Linked DNA regions of Danio rerio. The protein of the gene in region 2 binds, or shares a complex with, the protein of the main gene of each other region. Links are inferred from orthologs where the notes say so. Each region holds a gene or a part of one and is shown on either strand. Other genes may lie near its edges. The genes, in order: sema7a and plxnc1.

Region 1 (3,689 bases), on a different chromosome or scaffold from region 2:
CTCTTTACAAGAAGTCCCATAGGATTTTTTAATGACAACAGAGACCTCGGTGTAATGTATCATCTGAAAGATGGCATCCACTGACAGTATAGTGTCCCCTTCACTAAACTAGGGCATTAGGACACAGACCGCAGGTTGAGTGCCCCGCTGGCCTCACTCACACCACTTCCAACAGCAACCTAGTTTTCCCAAGTGGTCTCCCATCCAGGTACTGACCAGGCTTAGCCCTGCTTAGCTTTAGTGTGGAACTGGTCTTGGGCTGCAGGGTGATATGGTTATGGCCATACATTTTGCTAGTGTGAAAGGCTGTGGAATTCTTTCTTCAATTTCTTTCTTCCTCATTCCTCATAAGGGTCAAGGTGCAGTTTTCAAACGGGCAATCAACACAAAATCCCTATCTTCATCACAGCCATAATGTAGAACAATAACCTTTTCTTCATAAATAATAAACTGAATCTTAAAGACCTTCACGCAAACACTAAATATATAGACAAAAAATAAAAACTTGCTTCAGGTTAACCACACTCCTGAAAACCTCTCTGCCTTTATTTGAACCAAAACTTTTTTAAAAATCCAAGTGACTATCGAGCAGATATTTATTTAATAATTTCTTGAATTTAATTTAAGTTCATGTAGGAGGGGAGGGGTGATAATAAGCAGTTCATATTTTATTCAAATTTAGTCCAGTGGCTTTTTTTTTTTTTTTTTTGTATTGGTAAAGATCAATGTTGAGGGTCAGTCTTAAAGTGCTTTTTGATGTTTATATATGAAATTTTCTTTGTAAAACAGTGTAATTCTCTCCCTGCAATTTTTTACATCTTGTCACAAAGCATTTTATTTCAGGGTTGTTTTTACTTGATTTTTTAAAAATTATTATTATTATTATTTTTTTTTTTTTTTGCTGTTATAAAAAAAACACATTACCAATTAAATGTATTACTATTCTAATTGTTAGTAATATTTACAGGGAATCTCCAAACATAATATCTGTGCAGCATGTAAAAAACGCTGTCAATGCTAAATACTGTATTTTCAGATTCCAAAGAGTTTTAGACTTTGGTACTCCACTGTACCAATTCAGCACATACTAAATAGATGGTTAACATATAATGGGAAGTTATCTTCTAGGATGTGCACTTCAGTGCTGACTTTGTAAGACAATTATCTTTGCCCACGAACCACTAGCCTCTTGACAACGTGACTGATGTTTTAATCAGCTTAAATGTCGTCAGAAATGCCTAAAGACAGAAGCACTTACATAACAAGCTTGACCTTAAAGTGAGCACAGATAGAAGGCACTCGTGACAAATGCTACCATTAGCTGCCGGTCTTGTATTTTCAGCTTGAAAGCATCATTAAAAACAGACTTAGCAAGGAGTTCATATTCTCTCACAACTTTGATGTAATCACGTTCCTGGGAAACACAACTGTAATTGCCATAATTCTCAGCCGTCATAGCTGGGATTAGGAGGAGGTATTCCGATTGGGTCTGTTGACATGGGTTGCTTTTGCCCCCGTGTTCCCATCTATAACTGGCATGATGTGAATCGACCGGACAAGATAAGTAGAAGGGGACATCAGTGGCCACAGTGTGTTGAATCCTTGAGGGAGCAGTAGATGACTGTTGAGCGTCTCGTCTAACTCTTCCCACTAAAAACATTTGTTAGAGATACATGAGATTGGAAGACTTATTTTGTCTTGTGTCTTAAAACAATTATTGGATTAGTTATATACCTGATTTGTGGTCACATACTTTAGTGACATTGCCATCAGAAATGTTTTGTATTCCTCCTCTGAAACAAAATCCAAACAGAAAAACATTATAGTCTCACTGAAATAAATGTCTTATTGTAGCAATGAAATAAAAATGGAGTCTTTGTATTTTTATGTGTATATAACTGTGCTAGTGGGCAACGCGGTGGCGCAGTACGTAGTGCTGTCGCTTCACAGCAAGAAGGTCGCTGGTTTGAGCCTCAGCTGGGTTGGCATTTCTGAGTGGAGTTTGCATGTTCTCCCCGTGTTCACGTGGGTTTCCTCCGGGTGCTCTGGTTTCCCCCACGAGTCCAAAGACATGCAGGACAGGTGAATTGGGTTAGCTAAAATTGTCTAAAATAAATGTATGAAATGTGCTAGTTATAAACAATATATATATATATATATTAGGGTTGTAACGGTATGAATTTTTTACGGTATGATAATCGTCTAAAACAATACCACGGTTTCGCGGTATACGGTATTAAATAGTAATTCTCATAGCAAAGACCCTGAAAAGAATAAGAACACGTTTTCTGACTGAACAAAGGTTTTTCTATGGGGGAAAAAAAATGCATTTATTTACTGACAATGTATTTGCCCAAAAGGTCTGGGAATGAACTAAACAGAAAAAAAATGTTACAAAATAATAGAACAGTGAAGCAAATTTGACTTTTTCCAAATAATATATTTTCAGTTACTATAAACAACACCACTTACAATGAACAAATAAAAAAAAAAGGAAATAATAAATAATGTGTCAAAGTCCAAATAAACATGGTGCAAATCCTCAGTAAAAAAAATAGATATAAATATTTACTATACTATAAATAGTTACATAACGAAACTAGATTCAATATGGAACATCCTTAGGTTTTATGTGCCAGCATGGATATGGTTGTCTGTGGATATGGATTTGGATATGGTTGTCTGCAATGCAGACAAACAGCTGCACCTTCATTTGCGTCTTTTGAAAACAGCAAGAGCAGCACTTCGTCTTTGCTGTGTCACTGTTTTGTCATGTTTCTGTGCTGCTGTGCATGCAAAAGTACTTAGTATGAGAATTATTTCATGCAAAACTTTTTTTTTTTTGCGTTTTATTTAGCCGCGCATAAATGTATGCCTATCTCTCATTCGGTGTTGTTCAAAAAGCTCATTGTTGGTCCACAAACAAAAGCGAAACCTATGCTTATTGGTTGTGATATAGCGAGTTTGAACCAATCTGGGCATGGAGAAAGGACAATGCATCAATGTATGTCTGGTTTGTCCGGAGACACAGTGACGAGCGTTTCTTTGTCAAATCAGCGTTGTCAAATTTTGATGACGTAACCGCACTGATTCTGGAGCCTCTGAAAGTCCGTAAATGTTATGTGATACGGCACTGGAAGATTCTCTTCTTTATGCCAATCTTTGAATTGTATGAATCGGATCAGCGGATCAAAAGTTATTAAACATTTAAGAGCAATACTTATTTTTAGCCGCGGGCGGCTGTCTCGGTCTTTAAGGGTTAAAACCGTTGATATGCAATTGTTCATGGTATGATAATCGTGCACGTTCAAATCGTGGTGGACCGTCATACCGGTATATTGTTACAACCCTAATATATATATATATATATTGTTTATAACTAGTATTCTTTATTAATCCGGGGTCGCCACAGCGGAATGAACCGGCAACTTATCCAGCAAGTTTTTACGCAGCGGATGCCCTTGCAGCTGCAACCCATCTCTGGGGGGAAAAAAATAATAATAAGTAATAAAATTATATATATATATATATAAAATATATATACATATATGAATAAAACCCAATAAATGAAGAAAACTCAAATCAATTGAGTACTGTAAAACCCAGTTAGTTAAGGCAACTCAAACCGTTTGAGGAAACCGATTACCACAAACCATTTGAGTTAAAAAAAAAAAATCTAAATGAGTACT
Region 2 (3,831 bases):
TCATCTGGTTTCCATTATATTAGGTTCAAGACAAAATACAGTGTGACTGATTTGGGATATCAGACAAAACTTGCTGCTAACTAGTTTTGGTAATCAGACAATTAATCATCTTTACAAAATCTAGTTAAGAGGTAGACTCCAATATTATTGGCATAAATGGAGATTCAGCCTAACACCAGGCAAATAAAGCACTTGAACTGAATCTGAATCTCAATAGATTGAATGAAATCAATCATGCTGATGTATATTGCAATTATGTGCATGAACAATTTTAGTTAAATTTTTAAACGCTGCTCAGGCAAGAGTTCAAGCAAAACTATTACGGCAATTAGGTATTTTTTAACTTAAAAACAAACTAAGCACATTGATGTTTCAGTGTGGTCAACATTTTCAGAATAGAAAACACACAGACATTATCTCTGTTGACAGCTAGACCGATCAAAATAGCCCCAACCATCACACAGAGGTAAGAATGTATTTAAAACATCTACAACAAGTTGTTTTTAACTCACTTGTCTTTAATGCTGAAGTTTTTCTGTTCCTCTAATGCATGCACAAAACAACTGAGAAACTGCTTATCTCTGATCAGCTCTGCAAAAGCCAGGCATTTCTCATCGACAGTTGTTTGCTCAGAGTCCTGGCCACAAGAAAAGACAGTAATAGAGTTAAAACTTTAAGCATGGTTTCACAGACATGGTTTATACTTAAGTTCAATATTTAAATTACTTTTTTTTTTTATAAATGTGGCTTACAAAAAACAAAAAGCACAACTGGCGTCCATTTTGAAACAAAACAAAACCCTGATATATTTAAAGACCAATGAGTGCAAGATACTTTCATTTGAAACAGCATTGAAGCCTCGTCTGTGAAAGCATGGTAAGATTCTTACCTCCCCAATATCTCTAATCATGACTGCTGTTAGAGTACCAGCCTAAAGAATATAAGAATATAAGAAAAAACATCTATAATTTAGAATAAATGCCTAAAAAGTCTATAATAGTCGATAAACATCAAATAGTAAACTTAAATAAATAAAACTCTTCAACCTCTGGAAAGAAGATTCTTGACGCAAAGTGTTTATAATCCAGGAAAGGTATGGCTCCAACGTTATCAATTAAGTCCGATTTTTCTGTTTGCAAGTCAACAAAGCCTGTCAAAACAAACATAAACAATTAAATATGCCACAGTTGCAAGAGTATGAAGTCCACATCACATAGCTGTCTTACGTTTATAGCCAATGAAAGTTTTTCCACCAACTGAACAATCAGTATGTTGTACACAAACAACAGTGCAATTCTAATGATATCTACTTCTATACACTATGGCCTCATTTCAATTCTTGTCAAGAATTGATTATGCCACAAACTTGACTAAGGCCTATGAGAAATGTAGGTCACAAGTTCCATGGTGCAGTACTTCAATAAGGTGGCAGCTGCCTCTTTCCTTTTGTAGTTTTGTTGTTTAATACACTAAAAACTTTTTATTAATGCCAAAGCAATAGGATGAAAGAGACATATGTTTAAAAGAGCCCTTGGTGCTAAGGGGGATTGCAATATCAAGAAAGACGAGAAAAATCAATACTGCTAACGGATGCTTGTTGCACTTGTGTTACGGCCAGCTCACACTGTGCAATTTTTTTCATCCTGAACGATTGTAGCATGTCAGACTGCACAAACATGGCTCCCATGTCACACTGTAAGATCTAAGGTGTCATAAAGTCAGATTGAACGACAATGAAGATGCGCCAAACATGAAAGAAAACGCCTCCGGAGTTTGACATCATCCACCGTGACACTTTCTCTCGCGTTCTGAAATGACTGAAATGTAAATCTGTAGCGCCAATTTTGCACACAGCGAGTCACAATAATTAAACCAGGAGGAAAAAAACTGTTTTGACATTTCCAGCGGTCATTTAAATTCTAATCAAATCAAATTTGCTGCTCCTATTCTCTTTTTGGATTGATGCACATTGCAGCTGTTGTCACACTTCAGTAAAATGTCTGAAATCTTTTTTACACTGCTAGAACTTCATCTGAGAAAAAATCTGATCTTAACGGGCACTAAGCGGCTGTCACTGAACATGTCAAACCAACGATCAAAGATCACAGATTTTAGCCTAGGACTTCTTTTAGGATTTTCCAAATTTGTCTCAGATGACAAAACAAAGGAGTAGTCTAAATGCTCAAAAGGGGGAATTTCATTCAAGCTCATTTCCGCCACAATGAGGAACAATTATCCCACAGGACGGAGCAGTGTACTGCTGAGTACTTGTTGGGTGAGCCATCTTACAATCATATTGTACAATTCAGTACAATTATATTGCATTGCATTTGAGGGCATCTAAATTTGTTTAGGACCAAGTAGCAGTATGTTTGGAAAGACTACAGTTTTGTTTTTTTTCTCTCAAAACTCGATAGGAAGAAAAAAAGAGCATGAAATGTTGAAGGGGATCAAAATGCTAGAGAGAAAAGTTTGGAAGAGAATAAAACCAGCTGTTGTCCACAGTTGCTCATTTTAGTGTAGCTGTTATGACTTGCTAGGATAGACAGATGAGTTTGCCGTGTCAGCTGGATCACAGAGGGATGATTGTCATCTACCAGGAGACAGAGTAGTCGCAATCATTCACTGGATGCCAAAGCCTGCAGCTATACACTGCCACAAGTAAGAGCTTGAAGGACTATTGGGGTTACTGCTGGATGCCCAAATTTGGGGGATACCTGACATTTGGTCTCCAATCACCAAGGGAAGATAAGATAGGAGATTCAATAAGGAATATTTTTTTCCTTTCCCTCTCTTTCCTTTTTCCTATGAGTTTCCTTTTTCTCACTCTCCTAGCTTTTACATTTTCTCTAGTTGATAGTGTTGTAAGGCTGAACATTATCAAAAGTATTTGTTTTTATTGCAAACCATATCTTTCTAACCAAAAGAGACTATTCAAATTTCAAAACAAAAAAAAAGTGCTGATAAAGATCATGGCCATGGCATGATAGGCCTTAAGCTAAGAAATCCTTTAGTTTGAAGGTTAAGGCTATAGTTAGCAAAACTCAACTTACAAGGCTCAACTAAAGGAATTTAAGGCTGGCATTAAGTATTCCCCTCTTAATGATCTAAGTGTTCCCTTAACCGTTGCTACAAAGTCCTTAGTAACCATTTCCTCTTAACAAATTTAAGGGACCAAAACAGCTCCCTTAAATGAGCAAATTGCATTCAAAATGCAAGCATCAAAACCCAACGTCAGGCTGACGTCAATGTCCAACCTAAAATCAACCAATTAGCAACGTCTAATCATGTTACAACTTGAGGTTGTGTGGACATCACCACTATGGTCACTTTCCTACACAACATAAAATCAACCAAATATCAATGTAATTTGATGTTGTTAACAAATGTAAACATAAGGTTGTCCTCAGACTCTGGCTAGACATTGACGTCATGATCTAAATCTAACCTAATATTAATGTCTTACAATGTTGTGTGCCTGCTGGGTAATATACAGAATGTGTCAATAGCAAGTCTGCGCAGGAGTGCATCTATATGAAATTGCAGTTTCAGTGCAGCTTCAAAAACCTGGCCGAGTTTTATAGGTCCTCCATACATAATGTCCAGATCGAAACGAAAAGGGAAAGTGTCAACACACTTAACAGAGGCTGATAACATTTCTTTACTGAACCACTGTAGTAGACAACACCTTACAAATGTCAGTGTTGTTTGAGTAGAGTAAAAATGGTTGAGGGAAGTTGGATGATGTGGGAATGCTGGATAATGAGAGACACCTGTGCAACACGCCTGTCTCGAGTCCCACAGAAGACTTCCAAAAAGACAAAGAGCAGC

What was found.
Region 1: the proteins of plxnc1 (region 2) and sema7a are in contact, whole or in part, in a crystal structure (PDB 3NVQ), measured with the Homo sapiens proteins. The link is inferred for Danio rerio from reciprocal best matches to the Homo sapiens genes PLXNC1 and SEMA7A. Residues at the interface, in NP_005752.1 of Homo sapiens: Arg131, Thr151, Glu152, Val153, Asn195, Pro196, Ala197, Ala198, Ser199, Asp200, His201, Thr203, Ala206, Lys208, Arg213, Ser214, Leu215, Ala216, Thr217, Gln218, Glu219, Leu220, Arg222, Lys224, Glu272, Ala350, Ser352, His353; in NP_003603.1 of Homo sapiens: Gln194, Tyr196, Asn197, Gly198, Lys199, Arg202, Arg204, Tyr213, Ser215, Asp216, Thr217, Gln270, Gly271, Gly272, Glu273, Ser274, Ser275, Leu276, Val278, Ser279, Lys280, Pro372, Thr375, Glu376, Phe378, Gln379, Asp382, Arg383.

What each region holds. Positions count from the first base shown.
Region 1 is NC_133200.1:29,209,810-29,213,498, reverse strand, and holds the end of sema7a (semaphorin-7A isoform 1 precursor), read right to left. Parts: intron 1,794-3,689; coding exon 1,735-1,793; intron 1,651-1,734; coding exon 1,274-1,650; 3' UTR 692-1,273; downstream 1-691. UniProt on the Homo sapiens protein: Plays an important role in integrin-mediated signaling and functions both in regulating cell migration and immune responses.
Region 2 is NC_133179.1:18,895,167-18,898,997, forward strand, and holds part of plxnc1 (plexin-C1), read right to left. Parts: intron 1,151-3,831; coding exon 1,047-1,150; intron 932-1,046; coding exon 890-931; intron 638-889; coding exon 513-637; intron 1-512.